Daphnia pulex: one gene and its partners. The main gene of each other region encodes a partner of the protein of the gene in region 3 in a complex. Links are inferred from orthologs where the notes say so. Each region holds a gene or a part of one and is shown on either strand. Other genes may lie near its edges. The genes, in order: cell cycle checkpoint protein RAD1-like, checkpoint protein HUS1-like and cell cycle checkpoint control protein RAD9A-like.

Region 1 (6,614 bases), on a different chromosome or scaffold from region 3:
TGCGACACCTAGCGGTCACGAGAAGAAGGGCACACTGACACAACACACTGCAGAAGACGACTCGGCACGAACGAGTCAAAAAGTAAGAAAACAATAATAGTAAAAATAACATCAAAATTAAAATTATTCATGGCTTTGAATACTATGTTATTTGTCTGTCGGCGAAAATTTGACATCGCCTCAACATCCCGAATCAAAAAATTTGTGCTGGAGTACTCAACCAGGTGCAAACAAATGATTTTAAAATGTTACCTTTTTCCAACGGTAAAAGGAAACGTAAAATATAATAAATAAATTTTTCATTACATATTTTGGCCGGGAATAGATCTTTGGTTGAAGTTGGAAAATTGGAGATACCTAAAATTCAAGGAAAATATGATGCTGGCCAACTTTTCCTTCATCGTGTTTTTGGCTACAGAGGTGTGATTCTTTTCCCCTGGGTAAATATTGTTTCCAAACTTAATTTTGATATCATAATTTCTTTAAATACTCTAAATGTTTATTTCAATCCAGTCAGCTAGAGTGTATGATCGAGATATTTTGGCAAACAAGAAAACTACAAAGTATGTACCCTTTATATTGTAAGGTATCTTATTGTAAACACATTATTCTTGGAAGACTATACTTTAGCAATGTGAATGTGAGGTAGTTCATCAATTCCAGCTACACCAACAATATCTCAACACAGCAGAGAATCTCAAACTCTGCTAGCTTTAGGATTTGTAAAATGTTAATTCAACATGTCCACTCTAAATTCCATATTGCATTTCTGTTACTGTAACATTTTCATTTCCATTGCCATTGAAAAAGATCTAAGAATAGTACTGTAAAAACAAAGTTTTGTTTTCCATAATATATGTGCAAGGGACAAGCTTTTGCAGACATAGCTTACATCATCTCTCATGAAATACTTGCTAATCCTGTACTTAAAAAAAATACAGAACTCCTGATACTGATGTTAATACCTCTAATCAAGTTGGAAGAGAAGTAAAAGGGAAAAACCATACTTACTATCAGGTGCTCATTGATTCCCGCGACTGTCCTCATATTGTGAGTATTTAACTTTTCTTAAGCTGATGACCTTTTCAGTTTTCAGGAGCACATTTAGTAAAACTAGATTTCTGTTTATTAAGAGAGCACAAACAGAAGCGGTCACATTTTTAGGTCAACAAGAAAATAGCAAGTCGCTTTATGCTATTCCTGGTCTGGACTATGCTGCTCACGAAGATATCTTGCCGTATCGAACCACTGAGCACCAACCCTTATGTCACGAGCTTTTTGACAAATTTCTTATGCCTGACCCCGATAAAGGTTAATGTTTTCCCGCCCAGCTACATTGCGAATCTACTATCGAATTTTTTTAACACGAATCATCGATATATAAAGTGCAGATCCTCCGTTTGAAGCAAGAGAGACGTTGCGAGCGTGGCAAGAAAGAAATCACCCTTGGCTGGAATTATCAGATGTACACAAAGAAACGACAGAGAATATCCGTGTAACCGTTACTCCTTTTTACATGGGATGCCGAGAATCCCAAAATTCAACTGTCTTTTGGGTTCGTTCCATTGGTAATGTGAATCAAATTTTTTACAAATGTAATTTTTAACTTTTGCAGTGGCGTTACTGTATCCGGCTCGAAAACTTGGGAGAACTGTCTGTACAATTACGTGAACGGCACTGGCGTATTTTCAGTCTTTCGGGTACCCTAGAAACGGTTCGAGGAAGAGGAGTAATTGGACAGGTAATTAACGTCAATAACCACCGTTCAAAATTAGAATGTAACATTAAATCGTTCTTAAGGAACCGGTCTTGTCACCCGAACAACCAGCGTTCCAGTATAGCAGCCATATTTCACTACAAGCACCATCAGGGCATATGTGGTAATTTCAAGTTATTTTTCACTATTTATTAAAGAGTACAACAGCCAAGTTCAAATAATTTATTTTTTTTATGAACAGGGGAACGTTTCGAATGGAGAGAGAAGATGGGCACACCTTTGACTGTCGCATCCCTCCCTTTTCATTGGAAAGCAAGAACGAGGATAATAGCTTGCCAACCGGCGTGGTTTAATGGAGTCGTTCATGATAATCATGAAATATGAACAACAACAAACTTTGTACATGAAAGACAACTGCTGGCTTTTTAGTTTTTTCTAAGGTTTTCAAAGATCTTCGTTCTAGAATAATTCTAGGGCATTTTTTTCGTTTTAGTGATGCGGTCAATAATTCGTTCTCGTGGCATTCATTCGTCGTCGTCGAAGTCGACGTCCGCAGGGCACTATAAGAAATCAATTATTAGAGTGTATAAGGGAGAGGACGGTTGTAAAACGTAATTTGACGGATAGAACTTGGAAAAAAAAATGAACTTACGTAAAAATCGATGTAACAGTTGTGGTTGTCTTCTACCTTGATCATGAATTGGAAACATATGAGCCCCGTATCGTCGATTCGTAGCGAAACCTTTTGCGCTATTCCAAGGGGTTTGATGGATGGTTTCATCAAGGAGAGCTTGTATCTAAAGTCAGAAATTGAGCTAATACATCGTGTACGCCTTATTATGTATGTGTATCTATTTCGTACTTAAAGGACACTGCCGAGGTACAACGAAGAGTTTCTATTACATCGCTCTCTTTCGGAATATCGACCTTGAAACCCAAAACGTTTAGAATTAGAACGCGCTTCACTAAAAACTTTACAACGTGATTTACATGATAAGTTCCTGAATGACCAAATGTTGTGATACGAAAATTTGACGAATCAGGTGACAAAGAAAACTGAACAGTATCACTAGTCGAGTCCAACTCACAAAACACCTCTATAAAAACAATAATTATATTAGGAAATTTCTGTCTTCTTTCAACGCTTAATTACCTTTAAGACATTCCGAACTCATAATGATACGACCGATGACGTTAGCCGACCCAAAATCGTAATCCAGGACAGGATCAAAATGAACTGTACGTATCTTGCAGTCAGTGATAACTCCTGATTCTTCCAGCCTGCCAAAAAAAAAAATTATAATTCGAAATAAGTATAAAGAACGATTATTCTTTGTAGTTTTACATACAAGATAGAAACGGGAGTCCCATGGCCGTTATAGTAGAGTTTCAAGGCTGGTGTGCTGCCACTTTGAAGGTTGTTAGAGCCAAATACATTCAAACATTCCAGAAGCACAGTTAAATTAAGCTGAAATTTAATCTCATCTTCTTTAATAACATAACTCTAAATTTCAAAGAGTTAGTAAATTTTGTGAAAATTATTGTTTTTGTGAATTCTTTTTACTTGAAAAACTCCAGGCTCTATAAAGGCATTTAGCTGGACACTTTTCATGTCTTCAACTGTGACTTTTAATCCATCTCTAGTACAGCAAAATACGGAATTCTGAAAGGAAAGCAAAATCACAAGAAGGATGTAATAGGATTAGCTTTTGATCGCTAACAAAACATGTTTTCTCTGTATTACAATTCTTGAAGAATTTACCTCTTTGAAATTTATGGATTTGAGGATATGTGAGATAATTTTTGCATTATCCATACGTATCATCAAGATGTGACTTTGGTCTCCAGACGTGTTTTGAAATGGAAAATTTGGCATGGTGAATGTGGGACTCGTTTGCTCTTTAATGTTGTGGGAGTAGTTTTGAGAATTATGCAAAGGGTTCCTAAAGGATCATCCTGAAATGATCAGTGAAAAAATGTTCTGGTTAATAAGGCTAGGATTTTTTACAGAAAAATGTACTGCACAAAAAATGAACCGACCCAACTGTTACATCCAAGAGAACTATGATTCGAGACGAATTATTCTAGTTTTGACTGAATTCAAAATCTGGTTGTGTTTATCACAATCAACTATACAGCACAATCAAATTTGTTGGATTTAAAAAGTGCTAAACTGTCTGCAATGGAATGGAAGTAAAAATTTCAAGTTTTAATCTCGAGACGACGAAAAAGCCTACCGGCTTATTGATTCAAACAGGAAAATATTGTTATTATTAAACAGAAAGTCAGAAACATTGCGGCGTTGTACAACGCGAGAAAACAACAGTTTAGAGATGGGGAATTCGAAAATGAGCACGCCCATTGGTCGTATGCGACCATTGCGCCACCTAGAAATGTTTTGGCTTCCAAACATAGTTTTCAACTGATTAAGGCAGCGGGAAATGAATTTAAATGTAAAAGTCATGAAAAGATGAAATTTTAAATAAAAATACATAAAAGCAGTAAAGGACGAATGAAAAAAGAACCAAGTTGATGGCTGTTGATGGTTCGGAGCGAGGGAGAAAACTTGCCGCCAGTATCGTTGTTGTAGCGGTCGACGCGTGTACTCAGTTCGGTACCGCCTTAGTTGGCGGTGTTGAAGGGGAGCAGTTCTCTTTCACGTGCGAGGAGCAACGTGATAACAGATACAAGACAAAAAACAGCCCAAACGTCTTTTTCGGTGCTGAGACTTAAACCGTGAAGTGAAGTGTAATTCTTTTGTGGCTAAGTATGTGTGCAATCGAGTTTCGATTGTTTGATTTACCGGCATTTATAACCCAGTAATTCGGCACGTAGACTACTCGGCAAGCAGCAATAGTAGTAGCTTCGGCGCCCCCAAGAAAACCTAAAGGCAAAAATCGGTGACGCCCATTTTGGTGACGTCATCGCTGGGACACGTGTAGCCTGGTGCCTCGCTTGAAGTGCGTAGTTTTTCTCGATAATATTATCTTGTGATGTAGTGTTAGTTTTCAAACGTCACTTTGGCGATCAGAGTGACTTTGGTTTTTCGACTAAATGCAGTATCTTTTGCCGATTTAATTCTTGTCGCATTTAGTTTAGACATTAAAAGCAAGCAAACAAAGAGGCATTTTCCTCTTGTTAAAAGTTTTCTTTTGATAGACTATAGAGAGCTCATTCAAGGCCGCCAGCCTCAGGCCAAAATGAAACGAGTACTGAAACCCAAAAGCGAATGACCCTGTGTGCGTGCGTCTGTGTGAATTTTTATTTTTTTTTTCATTTGATATTGATGCAATGTGGATCCTGGATGTCATCGTTGTTGTTCAATGCTGTTACACTGTTGACTAAAACTGTTTGTGTCTTCTTGACCCACAGGTCTAACACTCAGCGGCTGGTGGTTGTCCAACAATGAGTTTGGAGATTCTCCTGGAAGCCGCTCTATTTGTAGAGCGACAGACCCAAGGTAATTGCTTTGCACAAGTTTAATCTAGTCCCCGTTCCCTCCTAGAAACAAGCAGGATTGCTCATACTGACATCAGTTTGTGCATGCAAAGTCTTTATAATATCAGACTGCTTAGAAGCTCGTGCACCCCCAGTCTTGAATTTCTCGAGCTCTGCAGAGCCAAAGGTTGTGAATCAGTTCCCTATTGTGTTTGGTGTTGGAGGATATGAGCTCATCAATCTTTTGGTTTTCTGGCCTTTGAATCTGTAATTGCCCCCGCCAGGTGCCTCTGTTGGAGCGTGTCTTTTTTATTTTATTTCTTCTTCTTCCCCAACGTCACACTACGGTCATCGAGAATGTCGACATCGATTGTTGACCTCGATCTCTACGAAGTTAGAGCCTGCGCATTGGCATTTTGACGTTGGCAACAGTCCATTCAAAAAAGCTCCTCCTCCTCTTTTATTTTTCCAGGCTCGCCAAGAACAAGCAAGAACGGGTGTCGGGAGTGGGAGAGAGAGAGGTGGGTGAGGAGAGCGATCTATTTGCGCAACTGCGAATCTCGGGGAGAGTGGCGTGCGTGCGCGGGTAACACGCCGAAATAGATCCGAAAAAAGGGTGGCAAAGCCCCGCCCACTTCGGTTCCACAACCCGCACGTGCTAACCAGTGTGTGTGTGTGTGTGTATCCCGCTCGCACTGGGAGGGTGGTGGTGTGCATTGTAGAGCGGATGGGGGAGGTCAAGAGCTAGATAGGAAAGAGAGAGAGTCCGGGAGTGAAAACAAAGTCGTCGCGCACGCAGCCAACGACATGGCTGATTATATAAGAGAGGGGGGAGGGAGGGAGAGCGTGCGGTAACGGGTGGCAAGTGATGATGGTAGGTGGAGGAGGAGGAGGAGAAGGAGGTCGCCACTCACGCCGTAGTGCAGCCGCAACGGATACTGGCTCACCAGTCTACGATCGAAGGTCGGCTAGTGCAGAGAGAGAGAGAGACTCTTTAATATATTATCATTTTATTTGTGTGAGTGTGGCTCCCCGTGTGTGGACGTGTGTGTGTGTGTATGTATGTTTGGGAGTTTGCGCGCGCGCATCTTGTGTGTTACGACGTCATCGCCACGGTGGTGGTGGTGGGGGGCCCCTGTGAGTTATTTTGCAATGCGTTGTGACTGTTGAATGCGACTCGGCAACAATTTTTCCTCCCTCCCAGTGGTCGTCGTTTTGTTTTTGTTTTTGTTTTTTCCTCTGGGGAGCATTGGAAACTACGGGCCGTTTCGAGTTGACTAGCGGATGGTGAATGAATCGACTCATATCCAGTTACAATCGATGGTCATGGGGGTGTTTGCTACGGAGGAGTTGGTGGGTCGTAGCAGCACCATGACTTCGGCACCCAAAAAGAAATGGATCCAACATTACATGCAAGGTATCACGGCCCATTTTTTCCCTCCCCTCCCCTCAGCCATGC
Region 2 (6,072 bases), on a different chromosome or scaffold from region 3:
TCTTGTCATTTCTGAATCCTCCGGATCCGGAATGGCTACTCCTTTACTTAAATCCAACATAGTGGCGTAGTACGATACAGTGCGCATTTCCTTTGCATTACTTGCCCCACTCGTTGAGGCGCTCTCTTTAATAGTTGAGACCATTGGGCGCTTAAGAGCTACCGTGCTCGTGGCTTCATTTGGAGAGGTTTGATTTGGTTTGTTTTGAGTAATGCTCCAGTCTTTGAATGGATCGACTGACACGATAGGTAGACGCCTGGCCAACACAAAATAGTGCTTTTAGGAAAAGTTATATAAGCAGAAAATTGCATGGTTTCCCTCTTTTTGATCAAAGAAATAACAATATACGAAAATTAAGATAGAATGTCTCACTTGACTAATGGCATTCCGGTTTCTGCACGAGCTTGAGCGCTGATATCGCGAATAATATTATGGAAAGCATCAGATGATGATTGCCCGTTGATTTCACGCCACACTAGTTCATCCAAGAACTGCTGGATCGTAGCAGTTGAAAGAAGTGATAGGGTATTCTGGAACACCTTAGGCACCGTTTTGCGGAGGTACTCCATAATGGTACGATTGTTTAGGCGGTCATCAACAGAAACCGTATTTAAATTTTTCTGTACTACATGACGAAATCCTAGTTCTTCGAGTGCCGCACGTTCAACAGTGAAATCTGTCATGATAATGGCTTTCTGATTCACCCACCTAAACAAAACGTGGAATGGTAAAAATTAGATTATAGCAATTGGGGATGCAATATTTTCATTTACTTTGGAAGGGGTTCTAGAATTTTGGTAAATCGAGCTCGACTACGCGTATCCCCAGCGATTGGTTCACAGGCCCGCAGTCGGAATTTCTTTGTTTCTTGATCATAGACGCCGAGGACTTCCACCTTAACGTCACGTCGCTTTCCATCCGTCGATGTTGTACCTAATGAAATCACTCCAACCTCAACGCGGCCATTTTTGCAGCCGAACAATGGAGTGCTAGAATGCACTTCTACCTACATTCGTATAAAATATAAATATGAAAATTTACAAAATATAAATAACTAGCAACGCGTACCGTGCAAACACTCCGTAACATGCCATAGAACAAGCGGAGAAAGACATGATCGATTTTCACCCACTGAACTACGTTCGAAACGGTTGTTTGGCAAGCCCAGTGATAAATGAGCTTTAGCAAAACTGTTGGGGACTGGGTAGAATCCTCAAATAATGACTCACGAAATATCGAAACAAAGTTGCGATCGCAACATTTTGTCATCCAAACATAGCCCCCACTAAATGTTCAATGGATTTAATTCACAATTCAATAACCTGTTCACGTCTTATTTAAATTTTTACCTGAATGGAAATTTATTCTCTTCTGCGTACATTCGCAGTTGTAATGGAACCGGGGTTGATGTCGCGTTAAAATGTGTTCGACAAGTGCCGAATTGCTGACTTCGTAAAAGGCCAACCTGCATTAACCATTCCGCAAATCGACGAGGATCGAGAACTAAACGGCTCTTTACGAACGAATCTAAAAAGCAAGACAAACCGAATGAAATAATTTTTTTAACATGCACAAAAAAAAATAAAATAAAAAAAAATAAAATACTCAACCAACCTAGTGCCTCTCGTTTCTTGGCATTTACGATGTCGGGAACTGAATTTGCCGGACGAACAACGACACAAAGAGAAGGTATCGTTTTAGACAGCATTTTTGTGTCTTCAGGTGGTGGCACACTCGCAGTATTTTTCGCTGGAGTGGCATTTGAAGGAACCGCCAAGATCGTCATTAGCTGACTTGTTGGGATAGTAACTGCAGGAGCTTGTGATGTTTCTGATGGCTTATTTGGCTTTTGCGTGGGAACAGGTTGATTGCTACTAGCTCTTTTGTTATTTCCACCTGAGATTGATGGAGTAACTTGAGCAACTTGAGTAGCTTGGGCAACTTGAACAGCTTGTGTGACTTTTGGTGTTTGAACAGTCTGGGGAGGTTTTACAGTATGAGAAAGCTGGATTACTTTTGCAGTTTGGGCAGCCTGAGCTACTTGAATAGTTTGAGGAATAGCTTGAACAGTTTGACCAACTTGGCCAGGTTGTATGCATGGTGCAGCTTTCTGTTTCTTTGCGGTAGTAGCAGTAAATTGTGAAAGCAATTGTGATGCTGGAAATGGAGTTTCATCAACAGCTGGAGTTTCATCTGCAGCAGGTAACAGAGCTATAGACTGATTCAGAGGCCTGAAAATTTTTGTTGGTAGTGTGGAAACAGGAGGAACAGAAGGAATTATTGGGGGTCTAATTAAAAATTGAGTAGGTCCACTTCGAGGACTATGCATAGTCTGCTGAACCGCTGGTGTTGGTAACTGAGGTGGTGGTGCAACAGGGTTCCGAACTTTAACCTGATATGTAGACTTCACCAACCAAACATTTCCAGTTTTTGTGACTGATGAACCTTCTGACAAAAATAAAACTGAACTAACTTGCCGGTTTAGTTTTAATGTATAGTTTACCTTTTTTAATCTGGTTGGCTTCTGACATGGCTTTTTCATATTCCATCATAGCATTTGTAAAGAAGCTAACTTGAGTTTCACTCAATTCTTCTTCACAACAATCAACTTCCAGATCACTGGAAAGCGTCATCTTGATTCTTGATTCTTGATTTTTATATTAATCCAATAAAACTCACAACTGCAAAATTCTTGCCGAGGAAAACAAACAACGTATGGGGAATGCGAAAAAATCAAGCCAAGGCAAAACATTGTTGCCAAATTTTCCCTATGCAATAATTGAAATTGAAATAAAAAGGAAAGAATTTTTTAAAATTATATATTAAATTTATGAATATTTCAATAGAAATAAATTTTTAATTGTATTAAGTTAGTGAAAAATAATAAAAATATAGAATGCTTTAAACTTAATTTGGCAGTCTCAATTCTCAAATCAAGCCGGGGAATTTCGTCTGTTCAAAATTTTCTCCTTCATTATTGTTCAAGTTTTTTCGTCTGTTTCAAGATCTCATTTCAACTTTCACAATGAAGTTTCGTGGGAAAATGATTGATCCTAACTGCATTAAGCAATTCATAGGTACGCAATTCCGAATTCTATTATTCATTGCTGTTCTAGGATTAAAATTTCATAAGTCGAAGTCATCAATGATCTTCACATTTTAAACTACAGGCATTTTAGGTTGCATGACGAAACTTGGGAAATCATGCATTCTAAGGATCACTACCAACGACTTGTATTTCATTGTCCGTGAATCCCAGACTATTTCAACCTCTCCACTTATTTGGTGTACTCTTGATGAGGGTCACTTTTTTTCAGAATTTGGAATGGAAGGTTTAAGTACCGTTGATAACGAAATATACCTTGAATTTGTTGCAGGTGAAGTGTACAAACAATGTTAAAACTATTAGATTCAAAATTTTCTTATTTTAATTAATAGAAAATGTTGCAAGAACATTGAGTGCCTTGAAAGTATCAGGAACTGCAAAATCAGTAAAAATCAAACTCACAAAGAAGCTTTCTTCACCGTGTCTAACTTTTGAGATTGACTTGGTATTCTTGAGATTGGCTCCTTGACTGACTTGTTATTCTCCTTATATGCATTAAAATTTCTCATGTATACTTTCAGCCATCAGGTTCTAATCATTCACGATTAGTTGTTCACGACATCCCTGTGAATTTGGTACCTAGAAGGCTTTGGAATGACTATGTTGAGCCAGAAGTTGTGGATCCAGATGTAATTATTTTTAGATATTTTTCTTATATCTTTATAAATATTTAAAATAAAACCCATTAATCTCTAGATTTCAGTTCATATGCCTCAGCTCCGTTTAATGAAAAGCATTATTGAACGCATGAAAAACCTTGCCAATATGGCCACTCTTCACGTCACATCCGAAGGATTACTTACTCTAACTGTTGAAACTGAAGCCGTTTCCGTAACTTCACACTTCGATCATCTACACGTTGAAAAGCAAAGTAAGACTTTAAGGTTGTAGCATTTCCACATAGTTTTAATTATCGGTAACGTTTTAATAGAGGAAGATGAAGCTAGTGTCACCATCGAATTGAAACGTCTATCAAATTTTCTAGCTCATGAACAGCTTAATCCACAAAAAGTCGTTTGTGGTATAAAACAATATGATTACATCTTTTACTAAACACAAACCGACACTCATTTCTATTCGATCTTATAGATGTGCTGCAATCAAAATTGATGCATTTGAATTTTCTGAGCGACAGTTACAGTTTGCAGTATTTTCTCCCAGGGATTAATGACCAATAACGAAGAAAAAAACTTTCCTGAGTTCCCTCGATGATTTATTAAAGTGGATCGCAACTTGAACGATTACATAGAGGCTCACATTTACGCGCTGATTTCAGTACCTACAACTCACGGAAAACCATCGTCATCTTCTTCAGCCATTTCCTTCGCATATTCCAAATCTTGTTGTTCCCGTTCGCGACGTTCCTATAAGAAAAATTTAATCTGTTTTTTACCATAGCCCAATACATAAAACGCAGATAATTCATGTCTGATAGATCTACAGTTTCAGATTTTAAATTACACAGTTGCATTTGGTTTCACGCCAAGGAATTCGATATTGAGTAACGCCGTTGTATTCACAATATTGCTTCTTATAATCAACTCATTTTTTCCTGCAATTAATCGAACGAAATTAGTTTGGGGTTACCTCTGCTGATTCCAAATCTTTGTTGTATGCCTTGGGAGGGAAGCGCATAGCTTTGACGCTTTGATTATGAATCTGAAGGCAGAAGGTGATTCGCTGGTGGAAAGCCAGCTGAGGCTCCTTGGTGCTGTAGACGTCAATGCTCTCCTTACTCTGCATAAATTTTCCTTCGTGGTCTAACCAAGCTTCGATAACTCCGTCACGAATGGCCTTGGCAACAATGAATTCAGCATCTTCGGCCGAGTCCAACAAAAGCTTGTGGGCTATGTCAGCTAGAGAAATGCGCGAATACGACAAAGAGATGGCTCTAATCGCAGTCTTGATAACATTGTGGCGTAGACGGATTATAAGAGTATAGGTATGATCAGCCTAAATAAATAAGAAAGTTAATTATATAATTTGGAGGGGGAACATTCGCTTGAAAGACCCTGCCTGGAAAGTTTTTCCGTAGTTCTCTAACACTTGATTGAATCTGTGTATGTCTCCCAACCTGACGGCTTGCGTCATTTGAAAATATGGAGCCAAGGCGTGTCTCATTGTTGACTGACGGAAAATATGCCGTTCAGGAATGTCTCCCATCAACAACTCGACTGTTACCAAAAGCTTTTGAACCGTTTGTTTGAAACCAACTGCTGTATGCTGGGGCGCTTTCCGAATGGCTTGCAAAAGATGAGTGTGAGCCTAAAATCAACAAAACAATGTTACAATTAGGAGATTAAAATAATAATAATAATAATTGTGTGTTCTCACCTGCGAATATTCCAATTGAATAGCCTTGATTCTTCCAAGATAGTAAAGATAACGTGACCACTCGTTGTTACTTCCAGATTCTGGGAAGACAGATTTTGAGACCAACTTGTCGGCCTAGAAAACGACTTATTAGGTAATCTAATGAAAAATAAATAAAAATAAAATAATGAAAACTTACTTGATCATACAGACTGTAGAAAAGATAGTTGCGCAGCAAACAATTGATCAGCACTGCCTGTCCCTCAAAATCTTTTCGGAGAGTACATGTACGTAGCCGGCTATGCAGAAAGCTAGAATAATAATAATAATTTAAGATATTTTGAAAGGTATTTTTAGCTAGTTCATTTTTACCTTCTGATTGAATCCAGCTTTCCAGCAAGCTCGTACGTCCTAGAATGATAGAAGTAGCAACGAGCAGCCAATAAATCCAAAGTACGCCGATTTTGAGCTGTTATTTTCTGCATTAATTGGTCTGAGCAGAGAACTCCTTCTTGAATGCGCTTATTATCGATACAATGAAGAAGAACTAACATATGGATGTATACGTCAACCTACATAAACTTCAGTCAGCAAAGGTTAAAAACGAATTTTGACCGAGATATATTTACTTCAGGTAAAGGAGAAGACGTCCC
Region 3 (6,261 bases):
GAAGCAAAAAAGCTGAATAATATGCCTAAAGCTCGAGACCTCTGGAGCAAGATTATAAGCCGGGGACACAGTAAATCTGCTCAGTGGTGGCTGGCTCGTGTTCAGTTTGAAAGGTTATTGATCTAATTAGTTAATTCTATTAGAGTTATATTAACACAATGCTTATTATAACAGAACACACGATAACAATAAAGAAGAAGTCCGCAAATTATTTACGAAGAGTCTAAATGGAGTCTCTTCGTCCGATTGGCCAGAGTTGATCGTTAAGCAATGGCTGCAATTTGAACGCGAAGAAGGAGACTTACAAACCATGGATATCGCTAAACAGAGGTCTGAAAAATAATTTAAAGCTTTTGAAAATTTTGATTTTAATTGTTTAAATATGCCAGGTGTGAAGCTCGGATGAAGAAGGTTAATAAAGAAAGAGAGGGGCAAACGGTTCAAGAAGTAGAAACGGCTAAAGGTAGGAAACGAGGAAAGATTGAAGATGCGAAAGAATCGAAACCCGTGCCTGCCAAAAAACCTAAAATAAGCCATGATGCCGCAGCAACTAGTACGAAAGTTGTTCCCAAAAAGAAAGTTGAACCTAAAGTAAACGCCACCGAACCTGCTAGCAAGCCCGTTGTCATTCCTAAACCGGTTACCGATCCTTCCCGTCATGCCAATACGGTCTTTTTAAGCAATCTGGCCTACGAAACATCTGAACAAGATGTACGCAACATGATGAGTTCTTCCGGCACCATAACGGACATACGTCTTGTTCTGGACTACAAACAACGTTGCAAAGGATTTTGTTTTGTCGAATTTTCTTCACAAGTAAACTTCCATAATTAAATTTCCTACGCTTGTCCGTTAAATTCATTTAAAACTATCTTAGGATGAAGCGAGAGCAGTTCTGAAGCGGGACCGTGAGCTCATGAAAGGACGACCGGTTTTCATGTCTCCAAGCGAACCGGACGCAGCATTGAAGCATCCAGCTTTCAAGTACCAGTCAACATTAGAAAAGAAAAAACTGTTTATCAAAGGTACGTATTTGCGATCTTTAGGTACGAGCTTAATTTGTTTTTATCCCAAATCTATTTGATGTTATAACAGGCTTAGCTTTCACTACTACTAAAGAAGACTTGGAAGCTCTGTTTAAAAAATTTGGAATTCTGAAGGACGTTCGATTAGTAACGTTACGGAACGGTAGCGTTTAATAATCTAAATTAAATTTATTTTTTCTTTACTAACTTCTATTTAATTAAATATAAAGGAAAGCCCAAAGGTCTGGCTTACGTTGAATTCGAAGATGAAGTTTCAGCGACGATGGCTATGAACCAGACAGACGGAACTACATTCCAGGACAAAGTTTTGACGGTTGCGTTAAGCAATCCACCTCCACGTCGCGAAGACAGAAACCTGGACAAGGATGAACTATCTTTGGGTGGCGGAACACGGGTAAGGAGAACGCAAGTGTCGTTTGTTCCAAACGCCGTCCTTCGCCAGACATCTCAGTCTTCCACCATGCCGCCACCCGTCAGTGTTCCCGCCAGTGCTTCGAAGAGCAATGCCGATTTCCGGTCCATGCTTCTAAAGAAATAATTTGAAAATGACATTGAAATGGCACGAATAAATAAAAAATGGACTGATCAACATTTAATGGCACTTTAACTTTTGTGATCATTATATAGGATACAGTGATGTACCGTTACAAAATTCTGACACAAAACAATACTGAGTTAACTCGGCGAAAGAAAAATGTACAAAATCGTTGGATGAGGGGAAAGCCGGGAAAGGGTTATTTCGTCTCTTGCTATTCATCTTCCTCTGAATCCGGAGCAAAGACTTCAGTTGGTCGCTCTCTGTATTCTTGTGTTAACTTGAGACAATTCTGAAATATGTAGCGAGCCCGAGCTCTCTTATTAGGAGGTGGTTGAATTTCGGGTTCCAAATCTACTTCCATATCAGGAAACGGATGGGGCTCGATAAGAGATAGACTGTTAAGACGTGGGGTATGATCCTCGTTAACAGGCGTTTGTCGTATCAAAGGTGTGTGTAAACGAGTGTGTGTCGTGCTTGCACGAGAACCGTTCCTAGAATCGACCAAATTGGCACGCGAAATGGTCCTGGAATCTAGAAAATTCACGAGGAGAGCAATGTATGTCAAGATCCTGACTTCCCTTTCAAGCCTGTTTTGTTACCTGTTTTATTCCTCAGGGTAGGGACAGGAGACGGATGGTTGGAGGTATTGCCTTGTACTGACATTTCGTGTTTGGCAGTTCGCGAACTAATGGATGCCGTAGTGTCCAGAGCAGGCGTTAGAGTTGCAAGGAGAAAATCTGCTGAATACAAGTCATCCTTTTGTAGACTGAACAAAACAGGCCTGGTAGAAGGAATTCCGTAAATAATCGATGCAACTTTTGAATCACAAGTAAAATGAAATATTGCTTACTGTCCGGCGCCTTCCATTCGACAATCAAGATCGAGTTTCAGGGCTTCTGCGAAGGCCAAAATAGCTCGTAATTCCTTCAAGCAAAATGTAACTTGAGTACACAGAGCGACGTTAAATTCAATGAATTCATCCTTGACCAACGTGACTTCCGTACGAACACATTTGGATGGGTCTATTTCATCATCAATATGGTTACTCAAATGTACTTGATCCATTGCAAGGGACCTTGAAAGAATAAACGAAATTTGAGGTTATTTAAACATGACAATTATGTTGTTGGATTACCAAGTAACTTCTTGAGTGCTTGAATGAAAACTTTGAAGAGTTTCATTGTAAAAACGTGAAGAGCAGGAAAATTTACTGGGGTAACCCTCCTTAGAGAATTCTGCCTATGAATTTTTAGGTTATTTTCATTAAAAGTCTGGCGAGACCAAATCAAAGGACTTACTTCAACACTTTCACATTCAAAGTATCTTAAGTTGAAGTACTTAACAATTCCATGTTTGCACCTGAACTCAATGATTAACAGAGCCTCAAGAAGTGGTAGCATTATCTTACATGTTTCAACTGATTTTTCCAAGCTTCCGATCGACCTAAATACAGACAAGATGGACTGGAAACAAAACATCATTGTAAACACACAATACTTCACATTAAAGTTATTTGTCAGACCTTCATGGGAAGTTTACATTTAATCACAGTATCTTCTTCTGGATCAGCGTGAACAGTATTTTCACTTATGTGCGTGTAGTCAAGAAAAAAAGGTAGGTGAAAATTGAAAGCTGAATAGGCAGATTTGGAAGCATTGACGGTCTTCAGAGTTAATCCATTTTCCATTGGTGAAATGTGCAATTCATCACCTATCTTAGCCAATGAGTGTATGGCTCGCGCCAAAACTAAAGAATAAAAGAAAGTGTTTTAGCTTTCAACTGCTTTAGTACAATCAAATGAAACATCATGTCGTACCCTTAACACTGGTTGCATCCAAAAGACATTTCATTTTTCTTTACTTCAATGTAAATTTAGTTGTTTGCACTAAAAAAAAATTCGAAATGCCGCCAGAAATTATATCGGTAACCCCATGTCCCGGATAACACGTTTAGAATGTTTAGCACGCAGACGACACGGAAATGAATTTTTTCAAGTATGCCCCGATTGGCTGTTGAGATTTTATCTTCACTGAAGATGTAAACAAATGAAACAAGTGACGAGCGTGACTCGTATTATTTCGGCCACATCTGCAAGTCACTGAAACTTGATTGTACTTTTAACCATAGATAAAGAAGACGGTCTTATCTGCTGAGGTACTTCAAGGAAATTTTTTTTCCCCTTGATTTATCAATGGTTTTCAATTATAACATTCTGAAACATTGGAAGACTTTCAATTACATCAGCTTTTCCGCTGTCCAATTCCTGCTGATTACATTCTGAAAAGTCATGGGGCGGAGCTTAAGAACAGCTGTGTAGTGTTAACTAGAGCACAGAGTGTAAACGTTTGTGAATAACTTACTTGTACTGCATGACTTTCTAAGGTAATAACAAATAAAATTTAAACTCTTTCATGATTCAGAATACAAAACATTGAAGTTAATGTTGGTCTGATATTCTGATTACCAATTTACCAATAATTCATTGGATTCTCCATAAACTATTTCACAGATGAGTAAACAAGGTCCTCCTCCAGCTGCCCCTCCTTCTTACATGGAAGCAGTGGGTGGTGTTAATCCATCAAGCCCCTTTACTCCTCATCAAAGTAAAGCATTTTTTTAGTATTTTAACTTTTAATGGGAAATGTGCCTCACATTCAAAATCACAATGTTTATCTCTTTTAATAGATGTAACCAACCAGCAGCCTATTATTGTGACAACCGTGATACCTGTTGGACCCGGAACAACACACACTGTTAGTTTTTCCCTCCACAGTTAATTATATATTTTATTTTCTCTATCTTCTTTCTTTACAGGTCTGTCCACATTGCCATGCTGAAATTGACACTTCTGTGCGTACTGAACCTGGTCTGATTGCCTGGCTTTCTGGAGGTCTTTTAGTTCTATTTGGGTATTACACAGTCAGCAATTTCTTAAGAGTTACACATTGATATAACACATATATTTTTATTACCAGATGTTGGTTGGGCTGTTGCCTTATCCCCTGCTGTATTCCTGAGTGCATGAATGTTCATCATGCTTGTCCAAATTGCAAAGCATACTTGGGGAGATACAGCCACTTTTAAGCTAATGTTCTTACTATGAAGAGGCAATTGGTTCTTTCTGTGTGTTAAATTTCATATTCATTTTTGGCAAATTTGGTTGTTGCATCTTGTATGCCAAAATTTACCTTTTTCCTAATTACACGAAGCTTTTCAATTTCAAAATTTCAAACAATAGAAATGCTGAACGTTGTATTATTCGTACCTTGCTTCAATATCTACTCCGCTTACTTATTAAAATCAAAGATACGCCGTGTTAATTTTATCACCAAAATTTATCAATGAATAAACTTCGAATATATTAAAATTGTCGTTTGTAATTTAAATTTTAAATTCATTGAAAAACGTTTTGTTCGACTGGGACAAAAAACCTATATTCCTTTTCTTAACTGAATTTTTTTAAATTAATTTGAATCTTGCAGTGCCGTAGTTTATTAATTATTTTTATGCTGCTCGTTAAATATATAGAAAATGTTATTCCTATGGAAAAAAGTTAAAAAAGAACCAAAACGATGCTTATTAAATGTTTCCCGCTATTTCATAGATACAAACAACATGGTTTTGGGGATTAACCTACCCATTAATAGAAGCGCAGTAAGAAACAAATGACAGGAAATGGTTGGATTTCTATCAAAGTATTTAATTATCATGACAGAAATAATCTTACAATATAAACAAAACGTAACTTTTATACATCCAAATCGCTTAATTTTCTAAAGTCCGTTTTTGTATCTCTCAGTGTTAGTTCTTGGCCAAGCCGAGTAATCGATTGCGACATCATATTCTGGCATCTAAAACAGAAAATAATTTATTTCGACCTAGACAAAGAGTTTTTTTTTTAAATAACGCAGACATACTCCTCCATGATTCCAATTTGCATAGCAGTAGTTCCGTTTAGATCAGAAATTACGCTTGCGGCTTTAATAAACTCATCAAACTTTTCCACCTGAATGTTATCGGATAGAGTTGTGCTGTTCTTAAAAACTTTGATCAATTCATCTGTTTCTTCTTTTTTAAATTCATTGATATCAATTAGACGAATCTGATGGCGATAGATGTCCAAACCATCTGCTAGCTCTTTAACTTTAGGGGTTACAGTACTTAGTGCATCTGAATACAAATGCAAACCAAGATTCAAGAATGTCTCTAGTATGTGAACATTTTGACAAACCTGTTGTTTGCTTCACAATTGGTTCCAATACTTCAATCTGAGAAGTGAGTTCCAACCGCATTTCTTCAAGTCTCTTCCTTTCCTTGATTTGGGAAATTTTGTTTTCCTTAATTTTGATCAAATTCCAGAGGTCTTCCATTTGTTCCTGAAACCATTTTCAATTAAAATGTTAGGAGTGTTGTTAAAAAATTAAATAAGAGTATACATTAATGTTATAATCGTATATTGTTTACCTTGCATTCTGCCAACACTCTGTCTTTAGATTCTTCAATTTGATTATTTAGGAAATGTTGCTGTTGATACATCATGTACATCAATGTAGCTTGCTCTTCAGTAGACAATTTTGTTCTTGATTGGGCTAATTTCTTTTCAGCTAATGTTTGTTGAGCAGGAAATGATGGGCCTACGAAAAAAGAAACCAGCATTATATATTTAAGTGATCATAA

Evidence for each region.
Region 1: the proteins of cell cycle checkpoint control protein RAD9A-like (region 3) and cell cycle checkpoint protein RAD1-like are in contact, whole or in part, in a crystal structure (PDB 3GGR), measured with the Homo sapiens proteins. The link is inferred for Daphnia pulex from reciprocal best matches to the Homo sapiens genes RAD9A and RAD1. Residues at the interface, in NP_004575.1 of Homo sapiens: Leu76, Ser82, Val83, Ser86, Leu90, Lys92, Leu112, Phe116, Gly117, Val118, Arg119, Lys120, Thr121, His122, Asn123, Leu124; in NP_002844.1 of Homo sapiens: Glu165, Ala166, Ser168, Glu169, Asn195, Ala196, Gly197, Ser198, Ser199, His200, Leu201, Asp202, Tyr203, Pro204, Asp206, Ser207, Glu211.
Region 2: the proteins of cell cycle checkpoint control protein RAD9A-like (region 3) and checkpoint protein HUS1-like are in contact, whole or in part, in a crystal structure (PDB 3GGR), measured with the Homo sapiens proteins. The link is inferred for Daphnia pulex from reciprocal best matches to the Homo sapiens genes RAD9A and HUS1. Residues at the interface, in NP_004575.1 of Homo sapiens: Leu157, Pro158, Pro161, Val176, Ala186, Lys191, Ala192, Met193, Val194, Thr195, Glu196, Met197, Cys198, Leu199, Gly200, Asp203; in NP_004498.1 of Homo sapiens: Thr84, Asn87, Arg90, Ala91, Lys93, Thr94, Phe110, Ser121, Ser123, Ser126, Arg127, Ile128, Val129, Thr130, His131, Asp132, Ile133, Pro134, Ile135.

The regions. Positions count from the first base shown.
Region 1 is NC_060028.1:2,684,004-2,690,617, reverse strand, and holds cell cycle checkpoint protein RAD1-like, read right to left. Parts: upstream 4,337-6,614; 5' UTR 4,210-4,336; exon of another isoform or gene 3,758-4,209; intron 3,699-3,757; exon of another isoform or gene 3,674-3,698; 5' UTR 3,594-3,673; coding exon 3,480-3,593; intron 3,381-3,479; coding exon 3,282-3,380; intron 3,222-3,281; coding exon 3,067-3,221; intron 2,999-3,066; coding exon 2,871-2,998; intron 2,815-2,870; coding exon 2,708-2,814; intron 2,645-2,707; coding exon 2,580-2,644; intron 2,555-2,579; exon of another isoform or gene 2,515-2,554; coding exon 2,295-2,514; 3' UTR 2,278-2,294; coding exon of another isoform or gene 2,242-2,277; 3' UTR 2,071-2,241; coding exon of another isoform or gene 1,959-2,070; 3' UTR 1,926-1,958; downstream 1-1,925. Other genes in the region: polymerase delta-interacting protein 2-like, read left to right, coding at 130-224, 326-440, 514-563, 942-1,050, 1,134-1,311, 1,392-1,555, 1,616-1,741, 1,801-1,880 and 1 more; uncharacterized protein LOC124209761, read left to right, coding at 6,440-6,572. UniProt on the Homo sapiens protein: Component of the 9-1-1 cell-cycle checkpoint response complex that plays a major role in DNA repair. The 9-1-1 complex is recruited to DNA lesion upon damage by the RAD17-replication factor C (RFC) clamp loader complex.
Region 2 is NC_060024.1:9,951,061-9,957,132, reverse strand, and holds checkpoint protein HUS1-like, read left to right. Parts: upstream 1-2,924; 5' UTR 2,925-3,025; coding exon 3,026-3,077; intron 3,078-3,170; coding exon 3,171-3,377; intron 3,378-3,438; coding exon 3,439-3,551; intron 3,552-3,627; coding exon 3,628-3,735; intron 3,736-3,802; coding exon 3,803-3,977; intron 3,978-4,037; coding exon 4,038-4,127; intron 4,128-4,195; coding exon 4,196-4,284; 3' UTR 4,285-4,392; coding exon of another isoform or gene 4,393-4,470; 3' UTR 4,471-4,601; downstream 4,602-6,072. Other genes in the region: uncharacterized protein LOC124200064, read right to left, coding at 1-256, 373-708, 774-1,006, 1,069-1,285, 1,350-1,527, 1,615-2,448, 2,504-2,633; probable 26S proteasome non-ATPase regulatory subunit 3, read right to left, coding at 4,393-4,470, 4,694-5,059, 5,123-5,371, 5,441-5,554, 5,619-5,730, 5,792-5,991, 6,049-6,072. UniProt on the Homo sapiens protein: Component of the 9-1-1 cell-cycle checkpoint response complex that plays a major role in DNA repair. The 9-1-1 complex is recruited to DNA lesion upon damage by the RAD17-replication factor C (RFC) clamp loader complex.
Region 3 is NC_060026.1:14,697,924-14,704,184, reverse strand, and holds cell cycle checkpoint control protein RAD9A-like, read right to left. Parts: upstream 3,643-6,261; 5' UTR 3,435-3,642; coding exon 3,401-3,434; intron 3,331-3,400; coding exon 3,107-3,330; intron 3,048-3,106; coding exon 2,883-3,047; intron 2,824-2,882; coding exon 2,720-2,823; intron 2,660-2,719; coding exon 2,435-2,659; intron 2,366-2,434; coding exon 2,172-2,365; intron 2,116-2,171; coding exon 1,796-2,115; 3' UTR 1,624-1,795; downstream 1-1,623. Other genes in the region: squamous cell carcinoma antigen recognized by T-cells 3-like, read left to right, coding at 1-113, 175-330, 390-816, 878-1,025, 1,096-1,188, 1,256-1,584; lipopolysaccharide-induced tumor necrosis factor-alpha factor homolog, read left to right, coding at 4,094-4,187, 4,270-4,337, 4,399-4,493, 4,560-4,668; uncharacterized protein LOC124203995, read right to left, coding at 5,333-5,435, 5,502-5,754, 5,816-5,960, 6,049-6,218. UniProt on the Homo sapiens protein: Component of the 9-1-1 cell-cycle checkpoint response complex that plays a major role in DNA repair. The 9-1-1 complex is recruited to DNA lesion upon damage by the RAD17-replication factor C (RFC) clamp loader complex.